4 linked regions of the Caenorhabditis elegans genome follow. The protein of the gene in region 2 purifies or fractionates together with the protein of the main gene of each other region. This does not show direct contact. Each region holds a gene or a part of one and is shown on either strand. Other genes may lie near its edges. The genes, in order: kin-19, eif-6, rpl-8 and eef-1B.2.

Evidence for each region.
Region 1: the proteins of eif-6 (region 2) and kin-19 fractionate together in Caenorhabditis elegans (co-fractionation; one large-scale study listed by BioGRID). This does not show direct contact.
Region 3: the proteins of eif-6 (region 2) and rpl-8 fractionate together in Caenorhabditis elegans (co-fractionation; one large-scale study listed by BioGRID). This does not show direct contact.
Region 4: the proteins of eif-6 (region 2) and eef-1B.2 fractionate together in Caenorhabditis elegans (co-fractionation; one large-scale study listed by BioGRID). This does not show direct contact.

What each region holds. Positions count from the first base shown.
Region 1 is NC_003281.10:4,081,161-4,090,267, forward strand, and holds kin-19 (Casein kinase I), read right to left. Parts: upstream 5,477-9,107; 5' UTR 5,411-5,476; intron 5,346-5,410; 5' UTR 5,329-5,345; coding exon 5,179-5,328; intron 5,121-5,178; coding exon 5,041-5,120; intron 4,967-5,040; coding exon 4,867-4,966; intron 4,587-4,866; coding exon 4,432-4,586; intron 4,382-4,431; coding exon 4,268-4,381; intron 4,227-4,267; coding exon 4,112-4,226; intron 4,060-4,111; coding exon 3,904-4,059; intron 3,786-3,903; coding exon 3,630-3,785; 3' UTR 2,843-3,629; downstream 1-2,842. Other genes in the region: unc-79 (Uncoordinated protein 79), read left to right, coding at 1-221, 277-536, 582-755, 1,194-1,333, 1,386-1,521; C03C10.5 (uncharacterized protein), read right to left, coding at 8,606-8,778.
Region 2 is NC_003279.8:12,965,590-12,972,952, forward strand, and holds eif-6 (Eukaryotic translation initiation factor 6), read left to right. Parts: upstream 1-3,356; 5' UTR 3,357-3,370; coding exon 3,371-3,643; intron 3,644-3,692; coding exon 3,693-3,800; intron 3,801-4,073; coding exon 4,074-4,433; 3' UTR 4,434-4,646; downstream 4,647-7,363. Other genes in the region: tba-2 (Tubulin alpha-2 chain), read right to left, coding at 1-674; pbs-2 (Proteasome subunit beta), read right to left, coding at 1,799-2,053, 2,112-2,690; prx-11 (Peroxisomal biogenesis factor 11), read left to right, coding at 6,026-6,670. UniProt on the Caenorhabditis elegans protein: Binds to the 60S ribosomal subunit and prevents its association with the 40S ribosomal subunit to form the 80S initiation complex in the cytoplasm. May also be involved in ribosome biogenesis. Involved in miRNA-mediated gene silencing.
Region 3 is NC_003283.11:20,475,731-20,483,126, reverse strand, and holds rpl-8 (Large ribosomal subunit protein uL2), read right to left. Parts: upstream 3,439-7,396; 5' UTR 3,433-3,438; coding exon 3,153-3,432; intron 3,119-3,152; exon of another isoform or gene 2,994-3,118; intron 2,927-2,993; coding exon 2,816-2,926; intron 2,760-2,815; coding exon 2,368-2,759; 3' UTR 2,293-2,367; downstream 1-2,292. Other genes in the region: dhcr-7 (7-dehydrocholesterol reductase), read left to right, coding at 1,110-1,271, 1,550-1,933, 1,989-2,230; calf-1 (CAlcium channel Localization Factor), read left to right, coding at 4,208-4,309, 4,357-4,477, 5,601-5,697, 5,750-5,824, 6,104-6,242.
Region 4 is NC_003282.8:15,033,299-15,041,144, reverse strand, and holds eef-1B.2 (putative elongation factor 1-beta/1-delta 2), read right to left. Parts: upstream 3,815-7,846; 5' UTR 3,797-3,814; coding exon 3,655-3,796; intron 3,605-3,654; coding exon 3,524-3,604; intron 3,476-3,523; coding exon 2,376-3,475; 3' UTR 2,307-2,375; downstream 1-2,306. Other genes in the region: hrpu-1 (B30.2/SPRY domain-containing protein), read right to left, coding at 1-771, 822-932, 987-1,070; fcd-2 (FANCD2), read right to left, coding at 4,204-4,404, 5,464-6,134, 6,797-7,062. UniProt on the Caenorhabditis elegans protein: EF-1-beta and EF-1-delta stimulate the exchange of GDP bound to EF-1-alpha to GTP.

The sequences.
Region 1 (9,107 bases), on a different chromosome or scaffold from region 2:
CGTCACAATTGCAAACATGATCCTTCAAGATGCTGGAGAAGATATCGAAGTTCCTCTTTTAGATGATCAATTCAATACAGCTGCTTCTGAAGCAATAAGACCATTCCTTTTTGAAGTATTGGACTTTATTGCTGACTTACATGTTATTGCAAAATTGAAAAAAGAATCGAATTCAGATGCCCTCGGTGGTGATCTGAAGGTTAAGTTGGCGGAAGCTATAGGTAAGATTAAAGTTTTAAGACATGATCTTTCATACATCTTTCTCCATTTTTCCAGCCGTTGAAATGTCAAGATCCAATGCACGTGATTGCCGTACAGTAATCCGTTTCATTCCATGGCTCATGTCTCCTCCTTCTGTCACACAAGCAGCTCCGAGTGCATTTGCCGATAGTGTCACCAATGTCCGTGTGCTCTCCTGGCTCTTACTCGGTGCTCTACACGCCAATCATTCATGCCTTCCAGTTCCAATTGAATGCTCTCAGCATATGGCTGATTACATTCATTTTGTGCTGGCTGGATTTGCCGATCAATCGAAGGTTTTTAACCTTAAAAATCTCAATATTTAAAATGTACTATTTCAGCAATCCGTTGTACATATGTCAGCTCTATTCCATGCTTTCCATCTATGTCAACTATGGACTGTCTATTGTGAAAGAGCTGCAACTTACAGTTCTACAACTGCTTTTGCTCATTTGGTTGATTTCTGGGCTCGTGTAACTCCCGCTATTCTACAACTTCTCAGTCATTCAAAAGTGGTACGGTAATTGAATAACTGAAAAATATTTTCAAAGTAATTCGGCGAACGGTTAAATTTTTTAGTCTCCCGTGAAATTCAATTTTTAACATTTCGAAAAAAAAAAATTGGTAGGAAATTCAAATTAAATTTAAATAGTTTCAAAAACTTTTGGCGGGAAACTCAAATGCTCATTTATTTTTTTTTAAGAAAAAACTTAAGAAAGTATGGTCTAAAATTTTTGAAATATTTGGCTGGTAATTAATTTTGAATTATTTCGAACCTTATTGGCGGGATGTTCAATTTATTCCCATAGTTTCTCATTTCAACTAGCCACAAGAATGCCTGCTTTCCAGGCAACCTAGAAGGGCAGGCATGTATGCCTAGAGACTCCCTAGTGGCTCACAGAGCACATATAAACCTTATTTATCAATTGATAGTGAGCATAACAATTTTTCAGCTAGCCGACATGGTCAACTTGCACTTTCTGAACACAATCCAAGCTCTTCAACAAGTAAATTCTGCTCTTCTCTGTCAACTTTACTCGATGTGGGCACCCATCCTGACTGCCTATCACTCGCAAATACCTAATCAATTAAGGTAAGTCCTTTCGATAACTCTGATCCGCTTCTAACCATTTCTCTTATGACAGAATGAAACTCGACTCTTGCCAAAATCAGCCCTCCCTGGAAGCTCCGTTGGTGACGGAGTGGCTGAAGAAAGTGAGATACAAGATATCGCAGGTCGAACTGCAAACCTCTGCTGCCTCGCCCTACTACACTGTCTAAATGATCAATTCGAAACGTTACGGGTTCACACAACACACAAACATCCTTCACAATACGATTTTCGGTGCTTTCAAAACAAAACAATGAATTTTTACTATAAATGGTTTCTCAATTATTATTTTTCTACTTATATCAGGAATTCATTTGCAGTAAATCTTTCGGGTGGAACATGGTGCATTGGGACAGGGTTTGCACAACTTCAAAAAGTTAAATTTAACGCACATTTATTTAAACACAAGTACCGTTTTTCTCTATTAGTGCTGCACCCCATTTTCTATTAAAAGAGTCACTTGACAGTTTCGATATTTTCGGGTATTTTTGGGTATTTTTTGTATATTTTTGATGATTTTTTGATAATTTATGAAAGCAATTGAATTAGTGGGTCTTTTTGTTACAAAAGTTCGCAATGTTCGCAATGAATTTCTGCTGAAAAAAATGAGTTTTTGTCACAAAAAACTAGTGATCTATAATTGAAAATTGCCGTTCGAAAATTAATGCTGCAGTCTCCAGTAGTACTGCAGTCTCCAATAGTGCTGCATTAAAAAAGGGCCTGGAAATTAGTGCTGCATGCAGCACTAATAGAGAATATACGGTAGGTACTTTTGTAGAGGAGAACAAACGGATTTTTTTGCGAATAAGAAGAGTTTCGAAAATTATAAATAAATCGCAATTTTTTCCAGACGAATTGAAAAAGAAATCATCAACCATATTTTGGCTCTTGTTAGGTAATAACTTCTTCAGCGTACACCTAACGAGACCCAAAACATTAAAACAGTATTGAGACTTTGGATAACAATAAAACGAGTAAGCTTTCAATCAATTTTTATTCAATTTCTTATTCTTCTTTATTTTTTAAATTTATTCGTCTTAAAACATGAAATGATATTTATATTCGTCGAGCTTGTGTTCTTTCGAATTTCTCGGAAAATTCCGTTTTTCCTGAAAAGTTTTAATTATCTGCTGAAAGAGCTTACCTTGGATGCTCCAACATATTGGAGCACTTAAATTTATCCTTCCAATTGGTTTTTTGTCGTCAGTTCAGGATCCTTGTCGAGCATTCAACAACTCCTCCATTATTCCATGAAAGTCCAGAGATCGGGATGTCATGCCCAAGTGTCTTCTTTTGGAGGCCCATTGGGCTTTTGTGCCATCGAATTGTTGGCGATCGATTGAACTATCCGATATGTGAAGTTTTGTATTTTTTGGAAGTTTATATAGACATATTTTTAGGGTAGGAAAGTTCAAAAGGGTGTTACGGGAAATAGCATTAATTTTTTAAAAACTAAATTCCTGAAAAGTTTGAAAACAAAACAAATTTTCTAAAATGATGAACTTGTTCATTTTAAAGTTTAAACGGAAAAAAATTCGACAGCAGCAGATGTGAGAGACTCAAGCGCATCTTTTCTGGTCGTTTTCAGAAAAGGTCGCAAAAAACAATGTGATGAGAATTACGACAATTTATTGATTACACACAAAAAAGAACGGAGTGGGGCTCTGATTTCTGGGTGGGGAAGTTATGGGAGGGTATTGAGAGGCATTTGGAGCCAAAAGAGAGGGGGTGGGTGTGTCAAGGTGAGCCGGTTATACCCAAAAACATGTTCGGCCACTTGACTTTTTCAGTATTTTTTTTAATTTTTGAGTGCCCGACATTGGGACATTTTCATCATTACGAAGAAAGGAAAGGGAAAAATGGTAGGGGGGAATAGAGAGAAAAATATATTGGTATGTTGATAGGGAGGCATTCAAGAAAAAAAGGTCAAAACGATTCGAAAAATGGGGGAATAAAAATCCTACTAAAATGGAAAAGAAGGAAATAAAAGAGAGTAGGAGAAGATGATGAGACTATTTATAAAACGACAAATAAAAGTGCTGAAACTGCGAAAAGTAGAGAGTATTCATCTTTAGTTAAAAAATTGGTTAAAAGATAAAATACAACAAAACATTCCACAATTTTCAGCACACAGTTAAAGAGGCATGTTAGCCCAAGAAAAGACAAAAATAGTAGAGGGGAAAAAAATGAAAAGAGTAGAGAGACGAAAGAAAGGATAGTACATGATTTAACATGGGCTTTTTTGGATTAAAAAGCCTCAGGACGGCAACAAAACGTCTTACTGTGGAGTAGTTCCTCCTGGTGCAACTCCAGCTGGAACTCCAGCTGATGGAACGGTAGCTCCCTGTGTAGTAGTGTTGGTTCCGGGGACGCCACTGGATTGCGATTGTTGAGCCTTTTGTTTGAGCATTGTCCAGTCGAATGTGTAGTCGTACTGTAAATATGCATTTTATTATATTTTCTTAAACAATGTTGCTTTTTTTAAAATATTCATTCAAGTATTAATTATGTTTGAAAAGGTTTTCTGTAATTGTAATTGTTTTAACACGAACCTGATGATTGAGCGTTCTGAAGAGAATTCTGAACAGTTGCCGCAAGTACATGTAATCTGGAGATTCATCGAAACGAAGTCCTCTTGTGTAGCTCAAGTACATTGGGAACTCAGCTGGGAATCCTTTGCACAAGTGCTCGACTGATGTCGTCATTTTCTGAAAACATTAAGTTGAAAAATCGATAAAATGACAGGATCACACCACAAACCTTCTCAGAAATCTTCTCATACTTTTGCTTTTTCGTGGCGGCCTTCAATCCTTGCCATGGAAGAGTTCCACGGTTGAAGTACATCAAAACGTATCCAAGGGATTCCATGTCATCTCTGAAACAGTAAATTTTAAATTTAAAAAAAATCTAAAATACCTTCTCGACTGCTCAATTCCCAAGTGGGCGTTGATGGATGCGTATCTGGCGGTACCGGTCAAGTTCTTGTCCTCTCTGTATGGAATATGAGTTCTGGTGCGTGAATCACGGTATCTGAAAATAATTTGATGAATATTTGTTAAACTATGATAGTGAGTGATTACTTTTTGGCCAATCCGAAGTCGATCAAGAAGAGCTTGTTGCAGTGACGTCCTATTCCCATCAAGAAGTTGTCTGGCTTTATGTCACGATGAATAAAGTTCTTGACATGCACATATTCGATACGTCCGATCATCTGGTCAGCCAGCATGAGAACAGTCTGAAAAAAAATTATCTTGATGGAAACTTCTTTAATAATGAAAATTTGTGAGAAGGATGCACTCATTTTCGAAATCGTTTATTATTTATTTACTCTGAACTCTGAGAACTCTATTTCTATGACCAATACTCTAACACATTGGCAACAATGATCATTAATACGTTTCATGTGCGAATTTCAAAGTAATTCTTGAAATTGAAATATTCACGTGAAGTAATTGCGCGGTGAAGCAGAGGAATCCGCTGCTGAAACTCATTTTAAGCTACTCGTCACCACTGACCTTCATGGTAAATCTTCTGGAGCAGAAATTGAAGAGATCTTCCAATGAAGGACCGAGAAGATCCATGACAAGCACATTGTACTCTCGCTCGGTTCCGTACCTGAAATTACAAGTTTTAGAACAATTTAGACGCGGTAAATATGTTCCTAGGTCTTTTTTATAGAAAAAGGTTACCATCTGATATGTGGAATTCCGACTCCTCCCTGTAGGATACGATACACTTTGGACTCGTACAGCAACTGCGGGTGCCTCGCCTAAAAATCGATAATGAATGATTATTCGAAAAAGAATATGGAAGCTGCTCAAACTAACCCGATTGCTTTCCAGCTTAATGGCCACCTCCTCGCCGTTCGTCACGTTGATCGATACATAAATGTCACCGAATGATCCTGATCCGATTTTTCGTATGAGCTTGTATTTTGTCGCAACGATGAAGTCCTTAACTGACATCACACCTGCCATTGTTTGCTCTGATCGTGCTGAAAATTCATGATTCACTATCGTGACTGACTAAAACTAAACAAAAAATGGTAAAAATCGATACCTTTGATAGCAGAACACGAATTGAGTGCACGAGGGCACCTGGTGGTTCAAGAAAGAGGAGCTCTACCTGAAAATATGCTATTTTTGAACGGAAAATAGAGAAACGAAAACGGTACGCGGTTGAGAATGGAACAGAAATGATGAAATACGATATTGTAAACGAATTGGCGACAAAAATCGATTGGATTGGGTAAACAACACCTTTTTTTTATTGAGAGCCCGGTAGTTCATCGAATTTCTGACAGAACATAAATTGAAAGAAAATGAAAGATTCAGGATTTTTCATCGACTACCAATTGAATTTAGCATTCCATTAGAAAACAAAAAAAGGTATTCGTGATATCAAAAAACTTTCCTCATAAATATTCCGAAAATCTAGGATAATCTACGTTAGACGACATAAAATTGCGGATTTGAAAGAAGTGCTGCTTATTTTTTTTAAATAAAAACAGACAACTTGAAAAGAAAGAATCGAGAAGAAAGGAGAAAAATAAATTGTTTCAGGTGAAAACAAATTGAGCTAAATTGGAAAATCGATAGCTGAAAACTTCAAAACTTGAAAATCTAGCTGACTACACTTTATTCAAACATAGAAAGTACGCATGTACATTTAAGTAATACTTCAGAAACCAAGACTGACAAACGTGCGCGAAGGACAAGCTTTTCAAGCTGCAGGCTAATAATCACTGCTAATTCTTTACTCCTGTTCTCACATTAAATTGTAAAACGAATAAATTGCGAATATTAAGAGCCATTAATACAAAAATCGATCAAAAAGTGAGCGTTAACAATTAAAATTTAAAAAAAGCGATCGAAAATGGCTAAAATCCTAAATTTCTCGGCTTTCTTGCACTAAAACGAAGTGCACGCTTTGAAATCTTGTGATAATCGTCCAAAAAGTTCATTAAAATTATTAAACATTAGAAATCCCCGTCTGAAAACGTCAGTAATGACTCACTTGCCACCTAATCCAACTCACAAGACAGCCTTTATTTGCTCACTTTTAGCCGTTTTTCTTCAATTTCAAACCAAATATTAGATATACCGACCACTTTATCACAATTATCAAATAATTCCCAGCCGAAAACACGAAAAACGTCGAAAAACGAGCAGAAATCGATGAAGAAACGGGGCGAAAAGGGTGTCGGGCACCGATTTCGTCAGTCACACAACCGGGAAGGCCGACCGCGACGCAGTGTTCATTGCGTCGCGGTTGCGCGCTAATTCAAATTCGACTCGTCGTTTTCTCTCGTTCTCTCGCATTTTGCATCAGTTTCGCCCATTTTCCTCGGTTTTCTTTCACTCTTTTTCGTCTCGCCTCGAACATTTTTACGTTTTTATGAACGAGACGAGTCACTTTGTTCGATTAAATGAGAAATATCACGTGGAAAATGGGGAGAACGCTGGTGGATTAACAAAATAACGAGAAAAAACAAATTTTAAGAGCAATTTCGGAAAAAACACTGGTAAAGGTTGAAATCAGCTTTTGAAAACTCAATTCTTGCCCTTTTCCCAAAAAATAATTCCTTTGTCGGATCGAACAAAAAACCGGTTTTCAAAATAAAAGTTTACACCCAACACGAGAGACAGTTGTCGATTTTTTGATAAATTACAGTCAGGTTTTGTTCCCCTTCATATTTTAATCGATCAAACAAAAAATTACAAAATTTAAAGGATCTGAAAAGCGAAAAAAAAACCCTATTTCGTTCTTTTTGCTAATAGAAAAGTTAGGGAAACTGGGAACAAAAAGAAAGGAAAAGAGCGAATCAGAATACTGGAGAGTGCATGCACTTTGGTGCAAAAAATCTAAAAATTGCAGATTTGACGAACAGAAGCCGCTGAGAACATTCGACAAAAAAGTACCCATGTTACCGCAAAAAATGTTATCAATTGACGCTAATGTTCTTATTCTTATCAATGTTAATTTAATAAAATCACAAAAGTCTACACGCCCATGACAAGCAGCACGTGATTTGAATGTTTCTAAAATGTAGAAAAAATACTAAAAAATAACAACTACGAAATAGCTAAACAAACATTAAAATGAAGAAAAATTGCAATTTCACTTCTGGAATTCATACGTTTTTTTTTCTCTCACTAAAGCGAATTAAGAAGCTTCTTCATCACAGAACACGGAGAGCATAGAGAAATCATAGAGAATCGAGAAATAGTGTATAAAATTGAGAAAAAGGAGTAAATGTTTCCCCTTCCATTTTATGCCGACCACAACTACTACTACTAGTGATGGGGGAAGAAAATGGGGAAAAAATGGAAGAAAAAGAGAGCAAAAAAGCAACCAAAAACAATTCTGATTCATTCAGTTTGTACGTTTTTTTGTTGCAGACCTTATCATGGATACAGTCAAAAATTTGAATTTTCAGCTTCTACAAGGAAAGTTTCAGCTCACTTTTAGACTCTCAAATGAAGCTTGTGACATTTTGAAAAATACCATTTTGTTAGGCCCCAACACAAAATTTAGCACACTCAATGGGAAAAAAAGGCAATCTGAAAACTTTTATGAATGATTTTAGAGGTGATTAGGGGTAGGCCTACAATTTGGAAGAAATTTGGATGAAAAATTTTCGAATTTTCCGAAAAAATATAATTCAGATGCGAAATTTCACGTTTTTTTAAGCCTAGAGTACTGTACTTGGTCTTGCCAAAGGCATCTGTTGAAGCAATTTCCCTTCTGACGCTACTCCACCGTATTGAAAGAATTAACCGAAAAAAGTGAAAAACTATGAAAATTCCACAGCAACAAAAGTTCGAAGTTACAGATTTCTTTGACTTTCAGATTTGAATACTGGAAAAACAATGTACGAAGGAGGATTCACGAAAACTTCAGTTAATAAAATGTGGGGTTACTGTAGTAGGGTAACGTAGGAACATTTATTTATGTTTCGCAACACAAAATAAGTTTGAGTCAATTTCTGATGTGGTACTATACGTTGCTAATTGACAAGTTTCAGGGTTTCCAATTTTCAGAAAATAATTTAGATTTGCTCTATCGTTTGTAGCTGGAAGTTTCTTGAAGCTATCAATCTTTGAATAAAATATGTTTATTGAGAAGAATATATTGATGAAATTAGATTTTATAAAGCATAAAGTTATAAAGTGTAAAGTAATGGAATATATGGAAAAATAGTATAGGGTTTATTATTGGTAGAATCAAAGTTTTCAGTAGAGCATTAGAATTTTAAAAAAATTTACAACATGACTTGCAAAAGATAGTTTTAAGGTCTATCAAAATGCATTTCTCCACTTCCGCTTGAATTCGGCTGATTCTTACGATCTTCTCCATCATGAACTTTGAGTTTGAAATCTGTCGGCTTGGTGACTTGACCGAGTCGCACTTTTTCGTCAAACATTCTGTAAAATTGGAAAAATTATTTTATTCTCGAGGCGTCACAGAGCGCCTTTTCTCGACTATCTTAAAATGGTTGAATTTTTTGCCTTTTCGAACTGTTTCAAATACATTTTACGGTAAGCCGAGGTACGGTGTGAGGTTTGAAATGTCGACATTAATGTCTAGAACCATTCATGGCCTAGGAAAGGAAAATAAATACTCCGGCCATCGATTTAACTTGCGGAGATAGTTTTTGAGAAGGAGATATGCATGGTCTAACGAGCTACAACTTGATACAAATCCAATAAAATTTTTCACCAAGCTATTGTTCATCTCAAAAGTTACATTTGTT
Region 2 (7,363 bases):
AGGTTGGTGTAGCTTGGTCGCTCAACATCCAAGTTTCTGCGGCAGATGTCGTAGATGGCCTCGTTATCGACCATGAAGGCGCAGTCGGAGTGCTCCAAGGTGGTATGGGTGGTGAGGATCGAGTTGTATGGCTCAACGACGGCGGTTGAGACCTGTGGAGCTGGGTAGATGGAGAACTCGAGCTTGGACTTCTTTCCGTAGTCGACGGAAAGACGTTCCATAAGAAGCGAAGTGAATCCGGATCCGGTACCTCCTCCGAAGGAGTGGAAGACGAAGAATCCTTGGAGTCCACTGCAGTTATCAGCGAGACGACGGATCCTGTCGAGGACGGTGTCGATGAGCTCCTTTCCGACGGTGTAGTGTCCACGAGCGTAGTTGTTAGCGGCGTCTTCCTTTCCGGTGATCATCTGCTCTGGATGGAAGAGCTTCTTGTAGGTTCCAGTGCGAATCTCGTCAACGACAGTTGGCTCGAGATCGACGAAGATGGATCTTGGAACGTAACGGCCGGATCCGGTGTCTGAGAAGAAAGTGGTGAACGACTCTCCCTCGTTCGTTGATTGAGTTGGCATGGTTCCATCGGGCTGGATTCCGTGCTCGAGGCAGTAGAGCTCCCAGCAGGCGTTTCCGATTTGGACTCCGGCTTGTCCGACGTGGATAGAGATGACCTCACGCATTTTCTTTTCTGAAAAAGAAAATTATAAAGTTTTAAAAGAGAAAGACAATTGTTATATGAGAACGAAACGATTGCGGTGAGAGCAGAGACGAAAGTGAGCCCAAATAGGGCCGAGAACGCACGAGCGCGCGCGCTCTCTCAACATAGCCCAACATCGGACACCGCGGTGGACAAGTCATCGATTGCAAAAAAATGATGACGAAATAGCGGGGCGCCAGTGGAGAGCGGATTGAAATGAGTGCAAAGGAGTGGACTGCAAGGGAGCCAAAACCCCGTTGTAAGAGACCCAGAGAATAACAATGGGAATTTCGCAATTCCCAATGGGATTACTTTGAGTCATTTTGAAACATACGTGCTTTCGGAGATTAATCAAGGAAGATGCAGCAGAAAACCGTCTTGTGAAATCGCAAAATGATTTGAAAATGTTGAATTTCAACTTGAAGAAGCTTCACGTCTTCAAAATTCGATTTTACGTGAAAACAAACATTTTTGAAAGGGCCGGAACACGGCCGAATGAGGGTAAACTATGGAAAACTGATAAAATAATGATAAAATTTGGAATTTTTCGGAAAAACGACACTGATTACGACGGGGAAGGCAGGGAAATGAGTCAGAACAAGATACAAAAAAATGTTTCGCGCCAATGATTGGTGGGTGGAGCGTGTTTGCTATATGACCTGCACATCTAACTCTCTGCGCGGCAATTCAAATCGGATTATTTTTTTCTTGTGAGTTTTGACTCTTCTCTCTTGACTTTTGAGAAGAATTCAGGTGGAAATTAGTTTTTCGCAGAAAGTTTTCAATTCAGATCTGGAAAATCTATTCATTTCGCAGTTTTTTCCTTTTAAAACCCGGAGAGTAACTTTTACTATTGGGAAAAACACTTGAAAGCGTTTTTCAAGTCATTTTTCCGGCTTTCAGTCCAAATTAAGACAACAAACAATACCAGTTTTAAGGAAAATAGACAGTTTATATTCGGAATTTATAAAACAAATGTGATAAGAACTGCCGGCGGATACGAAAATACCGAAAAAAGTAATCACCGACGACACCGAAACGGATGGAAAATCGAAAAAAAATAAATAATTGGGGGAAAGAATACACACATCGACAGAAGACCGCAATTTAGTGAGTGATATCCATGGACTCGACGACGTCGTACTTGTAGGTCTTGTGTTTCAGCACCTTGGTGGCTCCGGCCTGGAATTTGTAGACGAGGTCGTTGGGCTCTGGTCGCTTGCAGAATTCTGGCACAATTGGCCCCTTGAAGACGGTCTCGCTTGGCTCGATGATCACAAGATTCAAACTGTTTCCTGAGGCGTTGTCACCGTGCATACCGGCTTCCAGGGCGCGTTGGACAAGCTTCTCGGCTTCATCTTTCTGAAAAATATAATTATAGTATTTTTAGCGCATTGGAATTCAAAAATAGACTACTTACCGTCATATCAACCTTAAAATCACGCTCCAAAATAGTGATAGCTGCATATGATCCAGATCCTTGAGCTGTGAATGGGAAGGCCATTGTAGTTCCGTTGGCGGAGCACATATAAAGATGTGGGCCAGTTGGATCGACTCCTCCAATGAGCAAGTAGGCTCCGATGTATCCTTGATAGTTGAAAAGATGCTGCTTAGCTTGACGAAGAGCGGTGATCACACGAGCCTTGCGCCCGGTGTTTAATTCCAGAAGACGGAGATTTCCAGAGAGCATCTTTGTGACTTGATCGAGATCGGCGGCGGTTCCGGCTCCGCAGGCATAGATCGACTCAGTGAGCTTGTGAACCTTCTCGCAATGCTTATCGGCGATGATATTTCCGGCGGTGGCACGGGAATCAGCTCCCATCACAAGTCCGCCCTTGAAGGCAACGGCGACGATGGTGGTTCCGGTACTGGTGAGCTTTGGAGCCTTTCCGCCCATCTTGCACATTGCCTGATTACGAATGCAGTTGGAGAAGTCGAACGCGCCTCCACGGTCCATGTCCATGTGTGGGACGGTGGATTTGACGTCAGCGGTGGCCATTCTGGAATTAATGTTGTATTTGAAAAGATCTCACAAAACATTTTGAGAAAAAAAAACAATAAAAATGACAGGAAAAATACGGAAAACCATCTAGAAAAAACTGATTAACGAAAAACTTCGATTTCCCTGATTTCTGCTGTCTCACAAGTGATTTTCTGCAGATAACCTATTCAATAGCGAACTTCCACTTAATTTCTACAAATTTTTAATCAAAAATACGCTAGAAAAGCAGGAAAAATGGTGGAAAACTTCGAAAAATGTTGGAATGCTGACAAAAAGATTTTTCAAAGTCATCGCAACGACACTCCGAAATAACGCAAATTTGTAGAGTTCCGTGGAGCGTGTTTGCACCAAAAAATTTCCGTTAATTTTATTTTATTTTTCAATTGAAAATCTCTGCCTAAAACTTTTAATCTTAAGTTTTTCATTGACTTTTTGAGTTTTAAAATTCAAAAATTGAATTTTTCGTTCATTTTTAAGTAATTTCATATAAAACTGCCTATAGAAAATGAAAATTCCCTGTTATTCAATATTGCACAACATTTCGAAGCTCCGCCCATTTGTAGTTTGTATTTGTCTTGCTAACACCCATTCTTTCTCGTTTTTCCAATCAATTTTTACTATTTTCTCGATATTAAATCAATTAATTTTCAAAAAAAATTCCAGTTTCCCGGTTGAAAATGGCTCTCCGCGTCGATTACGAAGGATCGAACGATGTCGGTGTGTTCTGCACCCTCACCAACAGCTACTGCCTCGTCGGCGTCGGTGGCACTCAGAACTTTTACAGTATTTTGGAGGCCGAGCTCAGCGATCTCATCCCAGTCGTGCACACGTCGATCGCCTCGACCAGAATTGTCGGAAGACTTACAGTCGGAAATCGTCACGGACTTCTCGTACCAAACGCCACGACTGATCAGGAGCTTCAACACTTGAGAAACTCGCTTCCAGATGAGGTATGCGGGCAGGAAATTGAGAATAAATATTTAAAATTTGAATTTTCAGGTCGCAATTCGCAGAGTTGACGAGCGTCTTTCCGCTTTGGGAAATGTTATCGCTTGTAACGACCACGTCGCTATTGTTCACGCAGAAATTAGCGCAGAAACTGAGCAGGTAAGGAGAAATCCTACAGAACTGCGACTTTCAGTGTGATATTCCCACTTTTTTAATCGAAAGTTAGTAAAGAATCGTCGAAAAATGTTCGATTGTTCTGAAAATGATATTTATTTTTTGTTCAAAAGTTCGAAAAAGACCCAAACTTTAGTCGGAAACGGACAATTTTCATAACTTTCTTATTAATTTTTGATTCAAATGCTTGGCTTAACATACTGAAATTAACAATGTTCACACTACAAACTACAAAAATTCCTAAATTTTCTCTTTCAGGCGCTCGTCGAAGTGCTCAAAGTGGAAGTATTCCGTGTCAGTCTCGCCCAAAACTCGCTCGTCGGCAGCTACTGCATTCTCAGCTCTAACGGTTGCCTCGTGGCCGCCCGTACTCCACCAGAGACCCAACGAGAAATCGCCGCTCTCCTTCAAATCCCAGTCGTCGCCGGAACATGCAACCGAGGATCCGAGCTCATCGGAGCCGGTATGGTCGTCAACGATTGGGTCGCATTTTGTGGACTCGACTCCACTTCTACCGAACTGTCCGTCGTCGAATCGATCTTCAAGCTCGGCGAGCAAGGAGCTCCGACAAGCATCAGCAATCAGCTCAGAGATACTCTGATTGAGAGCATGCTCTAATCTTTTTTCTCACTATTTTTTTGATCTACCATTCATTGTTTTCCCACCTTTTTTGTTGTTGGTTTCCCCGTTTTTTGTTGTCAATGAAAAAACCCCTGAAAAATTCGAATTTTTCTCTCTTAATTCCTTCTTTGATGTCAAATCCTCACAAATTTATACCTTGAATTTCACTTTTAAAAGTACTTTTTACACGCTATAAATTTAATTTTCGCTTGATTTCAGAAGAACACACATCAACTAAACCTACTAGGTGAGTTGGACTCCACTACAAACTACACACAAAACCCTGTAGCCTGAACCAAAAGAAATCTGCCTAATTTATAGAGTCCGACGTAGCGAAAAAGATCACGAGAGAGATAGTACGAGACGCTGAGAAAATGCGCGATCACATTGCCTTAAAGGAGTACAGTGTAGTGATAAGGAGAACTATTCTTATCACTACTAATACCCCAATTTTTTTCAGAACTTTCCGTTTCAAAGTTTATTTCGATTTCTTTTTATTTGATTTTTATTCCAGTTTTTTGGCGTAAAAACTGGAATTTTGACTGAAAAACTGCAATTTTTGTAGATTTTTAGTGCTTATATATTTTTGGAATTCGACCTTTCAGCTGCTTTTGGCAATTTTTACCTGTTTTATTTGAAATTTTAGCACGAAAAACTTAATTTAGGCGAAAAATACTCAAAAATGTGCTGAAAAATAGCATAAAACCTAAAATTATGCGTTTTTCGTATGAACGAAACCCGTAAATTTCCGTCGAAAACTGTCAGTTTTGGAGTTTGTTTTGATGAAATTGTGAGGATTAAAAAACTGAAAATTTTAATTTTTAAAAGGGAAATATATTTTTAAAAAAACTTTTTTTCGATTTTTCGCCATAAATAATTAAAAAAACACTAATTTCTACAATTCCAGAACAAATAAATCGGATTTTTCTCAATTTTACGCCCGGAAAACAAGGAAATTTCTAATTTTTACGATTTTAGACCAGAAAAATCGAGAAAATTCACGATTTTTCTGAAAAAAAAATTTAAAAATTCTAAATTTTGTGATGTTTGTTACAAAAAAAATATAAAAAAAAAAAAAAAAAAAAAAACTGAAAAAACAAAAAAAAAACTGAAAAAAATGTAAAGTTTACAATTTCACACCAGAAAAATCGAGAAAATCGAAAAAATATATTTCTCATATTTTCTCTTGCTGGAAAATTCTAATTTTTACGAAGTTTGACCAAAAAAAATGTTCAGAGAAAAAAAAATTCAAAAATCGTAATTTTTGTGATTTTTATTTAAAAAAATCGTTGAAAAATTGTATTTCACCAAAAAAATCGTAAAAATTCACAATTTTTCGGATGAAAAAATATTTAAATTGTTAAAAAAAAAGGTAAAAATTTTGAAATTCAAATTTCCAAAACTTTAATTAAAAATGAAAGTATTTCCACTTTGAAAACTGTAGAATCCCTGCAAATCTTTGATTATATTATTTTTCAACTTTAATCAATTTTTGATCTATGAGCTTTTCTTTATTGTTTATATTGTTCTTCTTTCCCCTCAACCATCAACTCAATGATCAACTCTTCTCGTTCAGCTTCTCCAAAAAAATGGTAAACTCAACAACACTTGCCCATCTTAACACAAATATCGATCACCTCACTACAGTACTCTCTTCATATGCTGGAAGAGATAAAGCAATCAGATCTTTAGCATTCTATCTTCAACTCAAAAGTACCACTTCACCAGATAATGCCAAAGAAATTCTGGGCCTAGCGAAACAGCTTAGTGCCGCCCGTCTAGTATCCAGACAGTTTAACCATCCAGGAATGTTAAAGTCTTGTAGACAAATTATGCAAGCTTTTCAAACTGGAAGAATCGGAGATCCTTTGGAATTCCTCACAGGAGCAGCTGTTACAGGAATCTACACAGTCTACGGATTCGTTGAGCTTCTCGCCTGGCTTAGTGACGCTAAGATCCTTGCATTCAACTCAGCGAGGCTCTACAAATGGTGTCTTTACCTTTGGTTATCAGAACTTATCAATGGAATTGTTCGACAGATGAGAGTGATTTATCGGAAAGGAATCGAAAAATCGCAGGAGGATATTTTGACGCTTGTCGGATTATCATCAGACTTTATCAGTGGTGTTAATAGCCTTCCACACAAGATTTTATGGGCTGGAAAGTTGTCGATGCGGCAGAGTGCCTCGTTTTCATTGTTGGCTTCGATTATTGGATTTTATAAATTATGGTGATGTAGTTTTGAATGTAGACAATAAATTGGAAATGAAATCGATGAAATGCTCAAGTTTATAAATAGCAAAAAAAAAAACATCGGTAGACTTTATTTGATCTACTGTGAAAATGTTTTCCGGCAAATCGGCAAATTGCCAGAATTGAAAATTTCCGGCAAATCGGCAAAATGCCAGAATTGAAATTTCCGGCGAATCGGCAAAATGCCAAAATTGAAATTTCCGGCGAATCGGCAAAATGCCAGATTTGAAATTTCCGACAATTCGGCAAATTACCACAATTGAAAATTTCCGGCAAATCGGCAAATTGTCAGAATTGAAAATTTCGGCAAATCGGCAAATTGCCAGAATTGAAAATTTCGGCAAATCGGCGAATTGCCAGAATTGGAATTCCCGGCAAAATGCTAGAATTTAAATTTTCGGCAAATCGGCAAATTACCAGAATTGAAAATTTCGGCAAATCGGCGAATTGCCAGAATTGAAATTTCCGGCAAATCGCAAAATAAGCAAATTCTATAAAAAATATATAGCGAAAAAATTTCAAAAAGGCACTGTTTTAAGTGTTTCCGTCTTATAAAAAATCCCTTGAAACATTTTCGGCAAATCTGATGGCAAACCGGCAATTTGCCGAAAATGAAAATTTCCGGCAAATCGGCAACATGCCGAATTTGTCGACAAAAAATTTGCCAAAAGGCA
Region 3 (7,396 bases), on a different chromosome or scaffold from region 2:
CTTATTTTCCTATTTTCTTTTAAATAAAAATGTTGAAGCCAGTTTAAAAAAATTGCCGATTTGCCGGTTTTGCCGAATCACATCACCGAAAATTTTCAATTCCGGCTGCCAATTTGCCGAAGATTTTTATTTCCGGCAATTTGCCGATTTGCCGGAAATTATAAATTCCAGCAATTTGCCAATTTGCCGGAAATTTTCAATTCCGGCAATTTTCAAATCCTGCAATATGCCAATTCGCCAGAAACTCTAAATTCCGGCAATTTTCGATTTGCAGGAAACTTTAATTCCGGCGATTTGCCGATTTGCCGAACATTTTTATTTTCGGCAATTAGTCGATTTGGTGGAAATTATAAATTCCGGCAATTTGCCGATTTGCCGGAAATTATAAATTCCAGCAATTTGCCAATTTGCCGGAAATTTTCAATTCCGGCAATTTTCAAATCCTGCAATATGCCAATTCGCCAGAAACTCTAAATTCCGGCAATTTCCGATTTGCAGGAAACTTTAATTCCGGCGATTTGCCGATTTGCCGAACATTTTTATTTTCGGCAATTAGTCGATTTGGTGGAAATTATAAATTCCGGCAATTTGCCGATTTGCCGGAAATTATAAATTCCAGCAATTTGCCAATTTGCCGGAAATTTTCAATTCCGGCAATTTTCAAATCCTGCAATATGCCAATTCGCCAGAAACTCTAAATTCCGGCAATTTCCGATTTGCAGGAAACTTTAATTCCGGCGATTTGCCGATTTGCCGAACATTTTTATTTCCGGCAATTAGTCGATTTGGTGGAAATTTTCAATTCCGGCACTTTGCCGATTTGCCGAAAATTTTCAATTCCGGCAATTTGCCAATTTGCCGGAATTTATAATTTCAGGCAATTTGCCAATTTGCCAGAATTTTCAAATCCTGCAATTTGCCGATTTGCCTGAAATTATAAATTCCGGCAAATTGCTGATTTGCAGGAAATTTTAATTCCGGCATATTGCCGAATTGCCGGAATTTTCAAATCCTGCAATTTGCCGATTTGCAGGAAATTTTCAATTCCGGCAATTTGCCGATTTGTTTTTTTTTCAGATTTCAAAAAGAAAAATTTGTATTTTTTTCAGTGACAACAATATCGGAATTCTGGTTCGGAATCGAAAATCATCCGAAAATATTGGATATCGATTTGAAAAGCTTCATCCGAACGAGATTTACGTTTGTAATTTGGCCGCTTTTTGTGATTTCTGCAATGTATTTCCATAAAATCACCTATGGACAGATTTCTAGTGAGTTTTTTTTGTGTTTTTAATGGAATTTTGGCTGAACATTGGGAATGTCTGAAATTTTACAAATTTGTAATTTTTTTTTTAATTTTCAAAAAAAACTTTTTTCAAGATTTTTTTTCAAATATTTAAAAATGTTAGCTAAAATTTTGAATTCTAAAATTATTTTTTTTGAAATTCTCGAAAAATTAACGCAAAAAAAAAAAGATTTTGCCAGAAATTTGCAATTTTCAAGTTTTTCTCCTTCGAAATAACAAATTCTACAAAAATTCAAATTCCAGCGTCTCTCGTCTGCTTATCAAGCGTCCAACTACTCTACATTTTCCAATTTCACTGGAACGAAGACCTCTTTCTCAACTCGTTGGACTCGAAGCGATGCGATTTCGGCTTCTATCGAATTTGGGCGGATTTCGTGCTGGGACCCATTATCTATACATCACCAGTGACGATTCTCGTGGCGACTAATCGATCCGTCGGTGTGATCTCCAACTGCTTATTCTGTGCTGTGGCGATTGGCTCGATGGTTTTCACTGCGAAATGCGATCGGCAGAAATATGAATTCCGGAAATCTAAAGGAACGCTGAAAGTTGGCGGAGTTGATGCTTTTTTTATTAGTGCAAAGTATCGAACTGACTCCGGAGATGCTAATACTAATCTTTTACTAGGTAAGCTTTTCGCTGAAAGCTTGATTTGTCTTCAAAAAAACCACTAAAATTCCAGGCAGTGGTCATTGGGGAGTATGCAGGCATCCAAATTATGCCTCCGAAGCCATCACATTCGCCGCTTTCTCTGCATTTCAAGGCTTCCCATCCACCATTGCTCACATCCCATCCTTATTCGTTATCCTGTTCCTTGTTGCACGAGCATTCACCGATGAGAATCGATGCCTGATCAAGTACGGGCAGTACTGGGCGCAGTATTGTTCGAAAGTTAAATACCGGTTTCTTCCTGGCGTGTTCTGAGCCTTTACTCCCTAATGTTTTTTTCCTAAATTTTTTTGGTTCCAAAATTATCGAGCTCTCAATTTTTTGATGAAAGAAAGACAAGCGGTTTTTTAATAACAAAAATGTATTTTGTTGAATAACAAATAACAATACATTTAGACGTTCTCCTCCTTGGTGAACTTGACTGGCTTTCCTCCGCGAATTCTTCCGGTACGGCGGGCGGCGATAAGTCCAACCTTCTTTCCGGCACTGGCGTCTCTTCTGACGGTGGATGGATGTCCAATATGTTGATGGTTACCTCCTCCGTGGGGATGTTCGACTGGATTCATGGCAACTCCTCTGACACGTGGCCAGCTGTTTCTCTTTGCCTTGTACTTGTGGTATGAGCGTCCAGCCTTGAGAAGTGGCTTGTCGGTACGTCCTCCTCCAGCGACGAGTCCAATCATGGCGCGGTTGACCGATTGAACGACCTTCTTGGCTCCGGATGGGAGGCGAATACGTGTCTTCTTGGTGTCTGGGTTGTGGGCGATGACGGTGGCGTAGTTACCTGAAAATTAATTAATTGATTAATGAAGATTATATTGGTATTTGTGCAAAACTTACCAGAGGCACGGGCGATGACTCCACGGTCTCCGGACTTGTTCTCGACGTTGCAGATGGTGGTTCCTTCTGGGAGGGTTCCGACTGGCACGATGTTTCCGATTTGGATTTGAGCTGAAAAAAATAATAATTAGAATTTAGTAACTAAAAATGAAATGTTTAGTTCTAAAATTTCGAAAGTAAAGTGTTCGTGCACACAATGACCGATTCTGACAAACTATCACACCGGGGGTAAGAGGCAAAATTTCCTATGGTCCTTCCTGAAGGGCGTAGAATCAAAATAATTCAGGCCAGATTAAAAAGGACAAGCCGGATGCTTCAAACTGAAGGAAAAACTAACCCTTAGCTCCACAATGGATGAATTGTCCAGTGTGCATTCCTTCGGCGGCGACGACGGTAGTCTTCACGGTCTTGTACTTGTATGGGTCGCGGAAAGCGATGATGGCAAGTGGAGCTCCTCTTCCTGGGTCGTGGATGATGTCCTTCACGAGTCCCTTGATGTAGCCATGTCTCTCGGCATAGTCAAGAGGACGGAGCTTGGACGCTCCTTTGCGGTGCTTGTTGTGGCTCTTGAAGATTCCACCAGCTCCTTTACGCTGGATGCGGATACGACGTCCCATGTTACCCTGAAAAAATTCAATAATTATGACTGAAATCTGCGGAAAAGAGGTAAACACTACAAAAATAGACGAAAATAAAAGTAAAACAGCGAAAGAGATGACAAACTATCGGAACTGAGAATTAAAAATTCGTATTTAGACGGAAAATAATATTTTTCAGATAAAAAGCCGAAAAAATCGAGATTTTGAGAGAGAAAGAGACGACGAATGATCAAAACAAGCATTAAAATTGAATTTCTATAATTATTTGAACATAAAAACAAAAAAAAATTACTGAAAATCTTCAAAATTGGCGAAAAAAGTTTAGGCCAGCCGAAAAAATAGAAGAAAACGAGAGCCAAGCAGCTGCGGCGGAGAGGGTGGGTCTCGCCACGACAGCCCGATAAATAGCGTGCGCCTTTAACATTTCTCGTAAATCGACACAAGGAGAAGAGGGAAATTAATATTAAATCTGAAAAATGAGAAGAATTTACGAATTTTGAAGGAAGAAAGTTGAAATTTGGAGAAAAAATTGATTTTAAAGTTATTCAGAACATTATTGAGGTTGAAAATCTGATAAAATCGTTAAAAAACCGGAGAAATACGTAGAAAAAGAGAGAAGAGCCAGAGAAAATGAAAAATCGATGAGCTGTCGCCGTCTCTTCTGGGCTCACGGCTTCTGCTCCTTTCTCTACACTAAACCACTAACATCTGGGTGCAAAAATGCACTAATTCACGCCAGCTTTTTCCCTTTTCCACTAGTTTTCTCAATTTTTAGCTAATATTTTCCACTAAAATGTCATCTCCACAACAATTCACAATTCCGGCGAGCGAGGTGATGACGTCAATTGTGCTCCCGACGATAATTTTCTGTGTTGGGCTCGTTGCAGCCATGTTGGTACGGAAAAATGGGGAATTTTATCGATTTTTCATCGAATTTTGCAGCTTGGAATTAATAAATGCAAGCAGTGGGAGCTGGACAAGGTCGTCGAGATGAGAAGATCACGTCGGGTGCTCCAGCGAGTTACGAATAGGCTTAGAGAGAAGAATTTTAAGACGATACAACGTGAGAAGCTGGAAAATTGATGTTTTGAGTGAATAATACGGATTTTTAGTGGAGAAAAGCAGTTTTTGAAGGGCTAAAAGCATTAGAAAACTCGAAAATTAATTAAAATTTGAGATTTTTGGCGAAAATTTGAGATTTTTATTGAAATTTTGAGATTGTTTGTGTAAATTTGCAGTGTTTTGGCGAAAATTCGAGATTCCTAGTGAAAATTTGACATTTCTAGTAAAAATTTGAGATTTTCAGTGAATTTTTGAGATTGTTAGTGAAAAAACTGAGTTTTTAGTGGATAAATTAAGTTTTTTAAGGGCTAAAAGCATTTGAAAACTCTTAATTTTTCTGTGAGAATTTCGAGGGAAACTGCAGGAAAAGTGGCGGAAAAGTGGCAAATCCAACTTTTTGGAATAAAAAATTAGAAAATCTTCCAAAAAATTGAAATTTGAAGCTCCAAAAAGCTGAAAATAGACGTTTCTGATGAAAATTTCCAATTTTGGAACTGAAAAACATTGATTTTTACCTCGAAATCCGATTTTTAACGTTAAAATCCAATTTTTACGATTTTTAGATAAAATTTGAACTTTTAAGGCCCGAAAGAAACAAAATGCTTCGAAATTTTCAATTTTTGAGGCTTGAGGAGCTGAAAATTGTCGTTTTCGATGATGAGAAATTCCGTAATTCTAAACAAAAATTCGATTTTTGAAAATCGAAAAGCATGAAAGTCCTGGAAATAATATTTTGTTTCAATTTTTGAAGCTCGAACGTCGTGAAAAGCTGAAAAATTAACGTTTCATGGGGAAAATCCAGTTTTTTTTCGTGGAAAACGAATTTTTAGAGCTGAGAGCTGAAAAATTAACACTTTGATTAAAAAAATTTCGAGATTCGGGCTTAATTTTTGAATTTTTAGCTGAAAACTGATGTTTCAGTGTGTTTTTGGCCAAAAATTTAGGTCTAAAAGACGATAGAATTGCGAAAATGCATTTTTGAAATGAAAAATCTTGATTCTTTCGGAAATTTTTGTTCCTGAAGTTCTAGAAGCTTTGAAAATTGAATTTTATCTGAAAAATCTAGTTTTTTGAGTGAAAAATTCAGATTTATACGAAAATTCGTGTTTCTAAAATTGTTTTAGGAGCTCGGACAATGCGAAAAAGGGCCGCCAGTGCAAAAGCAAGAAATGAATTCTCACCGCCGGCTTATCAATCAAAAAACAATTCGACAGAGTTTCCGTAAGCGATTTTAAAGTGAAAAATTCAATTTTCCAAACGAAATTCTCTCCAGGTGTGGCACATCTCCTCCGCCATCGTATGAAGACGACGTTCTCGAGGAGTACTACAAAGAATGTCACCCGAGCAGGTAATTTTCGTCAATTAAAGTATAAAAAAGTCTGAAAATTGAGCATTAAATGAGAAAAAATAAATAAAATCCACTGCGTCGTCAAATTAAATGCCGGGTACGTAGTTCACCGCCTCTGCGTACCCGGCATTTTATTCGACGAGCAAACAGCTGAAATTTTTGAAATCGACATTTTTTCGAAAATAAATAAAAATTTCAACGTAAAAAGCAAAAACTACAAAAAAACTACACACTGAGCACATAATTCGACTAACTAGACAGCTATAACCAAATTTTCAGACGATCTATCCCGGTACCTAGCTCTCCTCGACGATATATTCGACAAAGGTCGAAATTCAGTTCTGCAGCAAGAAGAGTCAGCCGTTCAAGTGTCAGCACCGGCTGTCATCAACCTCGAGGATCGATCCATATTGTGTAGAGCTGGAGCAGTAAAATTCAATAATTTTTTTCGATTATTTCTGCCTATTTTGAAAATTGTGTACGAAAGCCTTGTCTAAACACCTTTTTCAATGTTTTATTCTTGAATATCGATAAAGTTTCCATAAAGCATTGATTTTCATACGAAAAAATATTTTTAAAAAAATGCAGAAAACACATTTTTATGTGCTTCGCTGCGAGACCCATGACACGTTGGCAGCTATGCGCCTTTGATGTTTCTTACGGTATTCTAAAGTTTGTTTTGCTATAGAATATATTTCGAATAGCCGATTTTCTCGACTTTTTGCTGCAAAATTTGATTTTTTTCATTATTTTTAATCAGTAAAATGCAATATTCTCACCAGAATTCTCTCTTTTCGTTGTAAATTTAACGTTTTTTTGTCTTTTTCACAGTTTTTAGTCCCAAATGTTGGTAATTTTCTCATTTCTTGATATTTGACAGGTTTTTATGCCTTTTGTTGCATTTTCTCCGTTTTTCGTGACAGATGTGTAGCAATCTTGTTCAAAAAGTGCTGCCCAACCCCATTTTCAAACAAAAATCGCTATTTTTGCTGAAATTCTAACCGAAATCTGTGATTTTGAGCCAAATTTCGGCTTTTTTTTGCTTGAAAAGTTAATTTTCTCGCATTTTATACGGTTTTCGTTTTTCCAGTGACCAATAAGCGCTTCATTTACCCATTTTTCTTCAAAAATCTCAATTTTAAAGCTATAAAATGTATTTTTGATGCAAATTTTGCAGTTTTTCCTCTATTTACTTGCTTTTCCATGTTTTTAATCGAATTTTCTCCGCTTTTTTCATGCCAGTTGTCTGTCAGTCTCTCTTCTGGCCAATGAACGCGTCGCCTCCTCCCATTTTTCTACAAAAGCCTCCGTTTCTCTCGCAGAAAACTCACAATCGTCGCATTCACATGGGTCCCTTCCATTCCCGCCTCTCCGGTGTTGCAGGTGAAATTGTTTCGCCTGGGCACCGGAAAAAAAACTTGGTGAGTTTTGGATTGATCTCAAAAATCGAAATAGTTTTAGGAATTTAGTTTTAAAATTTCTAATTTTTAATTAGTGAACTTTTCCAGGGTAAAATGGGACGTCGTATCCGCATCCCACTCGACTATGCCGAGAGACATGGTTACATCAAGG
Region 4 (7,846 bases), on a different chromosome or scaffold from region 2:
CGAGTGCTCTTTTATACGCTTCGAATGCCTGATGGGATCCGATTCATCTGGTGGTTGAAAGTCTGGATCTTCCTCCTCAACTTCCACTTTTATTCTAGTCAGCTTCTGCTTTTTTGGTGGCTCCTGTGGCTCCTGTGAAACAACAGCCGCCGCCACATCTGGAACTTCTTCTTTTATCGAAACTTTCTGCTTCTTCTTCTCGGGCTCTTGAATCTTTGGGGGCTCCGGATCCGCCGCCGCTTCAGGCTCATCTTCATCCTCTACATCCATTTGTTCTGAAGCCAAAAGTCGAGCACTTTTCCGTCGAGATCGCCTCTCCTCTGATTGCGGAGTGGTGCTCAGAGTCGTCTTTCCATTCTGTGAAGTTGATGGCTCATTTTGAGAAGTTCCAGGTTCTGGCTCTTCGGGTTCTTCGATTTTCACTGCCGGCGCTTTTCTTTTGAGATCCTTCTTGACGAGCGGAGTGGCGTTCTCCTTGTTCTGCTTCTTTCGACGTTCGGTGACTTCTGGAACTTCTGGAACAGGAGCATCTTCTGTCGCGGCTTCTTCCTCTGGAGGTTCCTGCTTTATTGATGGTCGTCCTCTTCGTTTCGGTTTCGGAGTCTCCCGGACAGGCTCATCTTGCTCTTCTTCTTCTTCTTCCTCCTCTTCGGGTTCTTCTTCTTTCACTTGCTGAGCTCCTCGAGTTGAACGGCGTATTGAATCAACTTTTGTCGCAGATTTCGGAGTTTTTGCGGCAGGCGTCTTTTTGGCAGCAGCTGGAGCTTTTTTCTGCAAAAAATATTGAATTTAAAACTGGTTTTATCGATTTTTAAACTAACCACCACTGCAGGACTTGAAATCGATCCATCCTCAACGCTTAAAAACTCTACAAGCCTGTCGGCAAGTACTGTCTGCACCCCGGAAGTGTCGAGTCCGCGGTCTTGTAGTTCCTGAAAAGATAATTATATTAATGAAGAAATTTTATATTGAAATATTCCTCCTACCTTTACAAGTCGATTTTTAGGCAGCAACGGAACGGTGGCCTTGTTGAGCGTTCCACTGGCACCACTGCGACGAGAGGCGCGCATGCCTGGAATTTGAGAAAATTAAATAATTTTATATGCTACGAAAAATGCGGCATATTAAGCGAATAACTAATTCACACCAACGAGAAAAATAATCGATACTTTCACGCGCGAAAGCAACTGGGAAATCTCGACCCATCGGACAATAAAATGAGATTTCCGCGAATTTTATCGATTTTTCAACGAAATTTCAACGCAAAATCATATTTCCCATGTAACAGGAAATTATTTTCACATTTTTCTCGCAAAAAAATGATGAAAAACGGCTGAAAACGCGAAATTTCTTTGTGAAATTGAATCACGCGAAAAATGACGCTTTGCGCGAAACTTGTAACCGTTGCTGACGCGTTTCTCGTGCGCTTGGCGTGTTTTTCGTGCATTTGAATTTTTTTGGCGGGAAATGGGGAAAAACTCACGGCGGAATCGATTTTGTGTTCCATTTGAGCAGCATTTTTGCTCTAAATTTATATTTTTTGAGTTGAATTCTGTGATTTTAATATTCAGTACTGCACCAGAGTTCACAAACCGGAGGAAATTAAATTTATTCAACGAAGAACTGACGCAATTTGCACCTAATGAACGTTTATTTAACCGATGAAAACATTTAATATTGTCTATAAATGGAGAAAAACACCGAATAAACCAATTATTCACAAGGTTGAAATACAATAGATAGAAATAATGGATATAAGAACAACTGATTAGGCCTTTAGATCTTGTTGAAGGCAACAATATCGACGGATTGGACGTGATCCTCGAAGTCTCCGGTGATCTTCTCGATGAGATCATCGACCGAAACCTTGAGATCCTCGATGACGGTGATGATCTGGAGTTTCTTGATTCCGTATCCGATTGGGATCAGCTTGGCACCTCCCCAGACAAGTCCGTCCATCTCGATGGATCTGACGAGCTTCTCCATCTCTCCGAGATCAGTCTCGTCATCCCATGGCTTTACGTCAAGGATGACCGAGGACTTGGCGATTGGGCCGGCCTTTGTGGCCTTCTTTGCGGCGTAGGCAGCAAGGCGCTCTTCAACGACCTTCTTCTTCTCCTCGTCCTCTTCCTCGTCTTCGGATCCGAAAAGATCGAAGTCGTCGTCTCCGGCAGCTTCCTCTTTAGCAGCGGCTGGTGCGGCAGCTGGAGCAGCGACGGAGCTGGTCTGAAAACAAAAAATTAGTATTAGAAAATGGAAAATATAAAATTAAGGCTTTTGGACCTCGGAAACTATAACTTCGCAACTTTTTCAACGATTATTTTTTCATAACAATAACATACAACAAATAAATTAACAGAAGACGAGCAGATCTTTCAGGTGAGCACCAGTGGAAGATTATTGGCGACAATCTCCTCAGCAATCCGATTTCTTAGCTCTTCATGGATTCTGGAGCACATTTCACGTCCCATCGGAAGCTCGAGGCCGTGCCATATAATTCTGTAGATCCTATTTGGGAGTGGCGGATCTGGGCAGATGGATCGAAGATATTCAATCTCAGAAATCGCAGCTAAACAATTTCCAGCGATCGATTTTACGAGCTCCACGGCGAGCTTCTCTCCTTCGCTCTCACCGATTTTGAACAAAATCGACAGATCCTGGGCGTAGAAGGGCCTATAGTAGTTGAACTTGAACTTTCCACTCCTCGGAGGCTCAGCCAATTGAAAATCGCGCAGAGACTTCTGCTGATTATCACACTTTTTGAAGGAAAATGTCAATCCTTCACGATTATTGAACCCTTTTTTAGTCTCTTTATAACCGGAAGATCTATAAGATGCGAATCTATCAGTATCGAACCTCTCCAGACTGTCGAGAATGAAGCCATTCTCGGCGCCCAGATAGATTGCCTGCCAGGAATCTTTTTTGTGACTTGGGAGCTCGTTCATCCACGGATCAGAGACCTTCTCGAGCCCAGACTGTCCAATGGCAAGACTGAGAAGAAATACTGCTTGGCTATCCATAATACTTCTGAGGGAAGCAAAAATTCCGGAGAGCAAAATTTTACTCTTTCTCAGATTGGTTTTACCGCCAGGGTGTGGAAAATTCATGATAACCGTGTTAAAGATGTTGCTCCAGCGAACCGGCAGATCTGTCGCGTCAACTCCAAAACATAGGATCACATTGCTCAAAGCGTCTAGAGCGTTTAACGTGTCATGAGCGTTGTATTTTTTCAAAAACTGTTCTTTCGAATCAAAAACAGTTGCAAAGTATACAGTTTCCGGATCTGACGACGCAATGGCAAGGGAAAACGAGAGATTTCCGTCGCCAAGAATCAAAACGTGACGACGATGATTTACCTGTCCTTGGCGAAGAGTCGAGAGTTGAAGTTGAAGCTCAGCGACAAGACTGGCCAAGTCGTCGACCTTCTTGGCAAGAGCAGAGTGCTCTTCGCGAAGCTTGGAGACGTCCTCTCCTCCTGAAACAGAAATGCGTTAAATTAGCTTTCAGAAAATGCCAAATTTACCTTCTTTGTTCAAAGCCTTATCAGCGGCATGCTTGGCATTGTGGATAGCTCCCTTGAGCTCGCTCTTTCCTCCCTTGCATCCTAAAAGACTTGAATATTAAACATTTTATATAAAAAATAATAATAAATACCGTGGTCACCACCAGAAGAAGTTCCTGGCTTAACGTCGGAGAAGACACGCTTCCCTCCATAGAACAATTGTTCTCCAAGAGCAGCATCCAAATGATGAGCGTTGAAGTGCTTGACCTCAGAGAGAAGACCCTCGACAGACATTGTTTTACCTGAAAATTGAATAATAAACTATGCTGGCACATTAAATAAAGTTATAAATAAATTTTCCGAGCGTCAAAACAAATAAAAAACCGAACAACAGCGCTAGAAATACTAGAAAACTGCAAAAATTACCCAAAATTTCTTCACATGCAACACGGCGCGGCGAGACCCATGCGCTGTGAATCTCCATGCGCCTTTAAAGTTTAATGGAGGGAAGTTCAAAATTTGAAGCGAAATCTATTTTTATCGTGATTTAAATCATGATTTAATGATTTTCCATGGTTTCTCAGCTTCTAAATGCAATTTCTGAACGAAAAACAACAAATTTACTTGGAAAAAATAAAATAAAGTTAAAAATACAGAGAAAACCCGTTTAAAAACGCGAAAAATTAAAATATTTTAAAATTTCATTCGGAATCCGAGTCAATTTCACTGGCACGCTGATCCATAATAATATCTCCATCAATACTTCGACTTTTGACGAGTCCAACAGTGAATGCATTCAAACATTCATTTTTCACCATTGCCGAATGAATTACTCGAAGGCAATTCTCACTTTCTGCACGGAGTTCCGGGAATTTTTTGAGAAGAAGCACGCATTTGTTCGTCTGAAAATTGAGATTTTTTGTTTTTTTTTGAGAAAAAAATTGCAGTGGAGGTAACACGTTTTCAGGATCTGGAAAATTTTTTCGATTTTTTCGGGCAAAAATAAAATTTTTTGGGTTTTTTTTAGCCAAAAATGGATTTTTTTTTGATAAAAAACTGTTTTTTTCGGACAAAATTGGATTTTTTTTGGACAAAAATAATTTTTTCTTGGTTTTTTTAAAAGTTTTTTTGAGCATAATTGCAAAATGGTTTTTTTGTGGGGGTTTTGTGGCTAAAAATGGGTTTTTTGGCCAAAATTGGATTTTTTTCTTGGATTTCTGGTTTTTTTTAATCAAAAAATGATTTTTTTTTTGGATTTGTTTTGGGCAAAAAAAGATTATTTCTTCCTTTTTCTAAAGGTTTTTTTTCTAGTTTTTTGGTCAAAAATTGATTTTTAAGGATTTTTTGGTTTTTTTTTTTTTTAATTTGGATTTTTATTGTATTTCTGGTTTTTTAAACCAAAAATTAATTTTTTTTTGGATTTGGTTTGGGAAAAATTAATTTTTTTGGGTAAAAAGGGATATTTTTGGTTTTTTTTAGGTTTTTTGGGTAAAAAATGAATTTTTATGGTTATTTTTTGCAAAAATTGTTTTTCGGTCCAAAATGGTTTTTTTTTCCGGTCTGTTCTGGTTCAAAATTAATTTTTTTTCTTGGTTTTTGGACAAAAACTCACTTCTCGTATTTTACAAAAAAAAATTTTTAAAGCAAAATGTGGTTTTTAATGGGTTTCATATTCTGAAAAGTTCATTTTAAAAAAATCGAAATTCGAATTTTTTTTTGTTTTTGAAGATTTTTTTCTACAAATTTCAATTTTTGTTATTTTTCGCCATCACAAATTAAAAAAAAAAGAATTTTTATTTCAATTTCGGACCAAAAAAAAATCAAATTTCTCTTTAAAAAATCCAAAAATTAAGAAGCCTGTTTTTTTGTTTTTTGCCCCGAAACACTGAAAAAAAAAATCCATTTTCCTCTGAAAATCCAAATCCTGAGAACGTGGAATTTTCCATCGCAAAAAAAAGAACCTTTGCAAAAGTTCCAATACTCTGCAAGACACGATTTCCCTGTTGAACAGCCGATAAAATCTTCTCAACTCTTCTACAAATCGTATCGAAATTGGTTCCCTTCGTAATATTATCCATTAAAAATATGAATGAGCTCTTTTTAGAAACAGTAATCAGAAATTGTTTTCCCTCTTTAATAGCCGACGTCAAAACCGCCGTAGTTCGGATTTTATTGATTCTAAGGAGAAGGCAAAGGATCAGAAAGCATGATGAAGCAGTTTCCCAGGATTCCAGAGTATCCTCGATGTCGACACCTCCATTCTTGGCAGCACTGGCCGACATATCATACTTTAAGCATCGAGAATTCAAATTTCCGAATAAAGTTTTAAAAATGACACCAAAAGTCGTTTTACTAATACAATAAAATGTCGCTTTTCGATCTTCTTTTTCCAATAAATCATCATCAGATTGTTGTGAGAATACGCAGGATTTCCGTTTATCATCCTCTGGAACCAGCTGAACTACTTTATTTGTCAGAATCCATTGAATCGCCAAAAGTTGATCTTTTTCCTTTCGAAGACGAATATAATGGTGAAGAATGTCACGAACTGCACATGTGTAGCGAGTTCCTTTGCTCCAGAGCTCGTCTACTTTGCTCCAATCTTTTTTGAGATAGGCGAGCGCGTATTTTGCTGAAATTTGAATTTTTTTCGTTTTTTTTTAGAAGAAAATTTTAGAAGAAAACAAAGTGTGGAAAAAAGTAAATTTTTGAAATTTTTCCTGAAAAAATCGATTTTTTTTTGTTATTTTTCGTCTTAAAACGGAGACATTCTGCAAAAATTTTGCTGAAATTTGAATTTTTTTTTCGTTTTTTTTAGAAGAAAAATTCATGTTTTTTTTCATGGAAATAAAAAAAATAAAATTTTTTTTCTGAAATTAAACAAAATTATATGCATTTCTTCGGAAAATCGACATTTTTTCGCCGAAAAATTAATTTTCCAAAGAAATATTGATGACATTTGATAGAATTTACACATTATTTTAGCTATTTTTAACCGTTTTTTAGAAGAAAAACATATTTTTTTCCATCAAATTGAACAAAAAAATACGGAAAAAAAGTAAATTTTCTGAAATTATTTTTTCTGAAAAAAATCGATTTTTTTTTGTTATTTTTCGTCTTAAAAAGGAGACATTTTCGCACATTTTTTGCACAATTTTTGCACATTTTTAGAGCTTTTTTTGCACAATTTTTGCACAATATTTGCACATTTTTTACACATTTTTAGAGCTTTTTTTGCACATTTTTTACACATTTTTTGCACAATTTTTGCACATTAAAAAAATTCCAATATACCCATAATTTTCCTGGTCTCCGCATCATCATCCTCATCCAATTTCAAATCTTCAAAAACGTCCAAAATCGCCACGGCAACCGCAGGAGTCGGTGAGAACTCTGCAGATTTGGCAAGAAATTTGCCAATTTCCACACGAGCCTTTTCAGAATCATTGGACAAATGCTCAGAGCTGAGCATTTTCTTCTCGATTATTCGAATTAGCACAGATTTCCGTTCTACTCGTTCTGCCGGGGAAAGCTTCTCCTCACCACCATAGAGTTCACCGCTGAAAAAGATTTTTTGTGATCTACAACATGTACAGCAACGTGTGGTTTACGGTTTGATCTACAAAAAACGCGGGAATTTTTTCCTAAAAAATGTGACGTCGGCACGCTCTTAATCATGCAAGATAAGTTGTGCTTTGCGTCTCGTCTCCCGCATTTTTGTAGATCAACGTAGATAAAGCCGATATGAGACACTTTGACACCTCAGTCCACTGGGGCGCACTTGCGCTCTTTTCAGTTTTTTTTTTTGAAAATTGGAGAAAAAATGATTCTTTTTTTTCTCATTTTTCTTCTAAAAACAATATAAAAAATTGCAGAATTGAGCGCTTTGATAAAAAGAAGCAAAAATATTTCAAAATTTTTTTTAATGGTTTAAATGCCAGAAAATAGACCCTAATAACCGAATATAATTGTTAAAAAATTTAAAAAAATTTCTAAATTTTTTTATGATTTTTTTTTTCAATTTTTCAAAAATCAAAAAAAAAATCGGCCGAATTAAATTTGAATTCCCGCGCACATGAGTGACGTCATTTTCGATATTTTTGCAATTTCTGGCTAAATTTGTCGGTTTTTCTTGATTTTTCTTCTATATTTGATTTAAAACACCGTTTTTGTCAATTTTCAAACATTTTTCCGTGAGAAAACCTGATCCCTCGAAAGAAATTGGCCTAAAAATTGACAATTTGATGGTTATTTATAAATTATTATTCCGAAAAATAATTTATAATAAAGTGATTAAATTGTCAATTTTTAGGCCAATTTCTTTCGAGTGGACAAGTTTTCTTC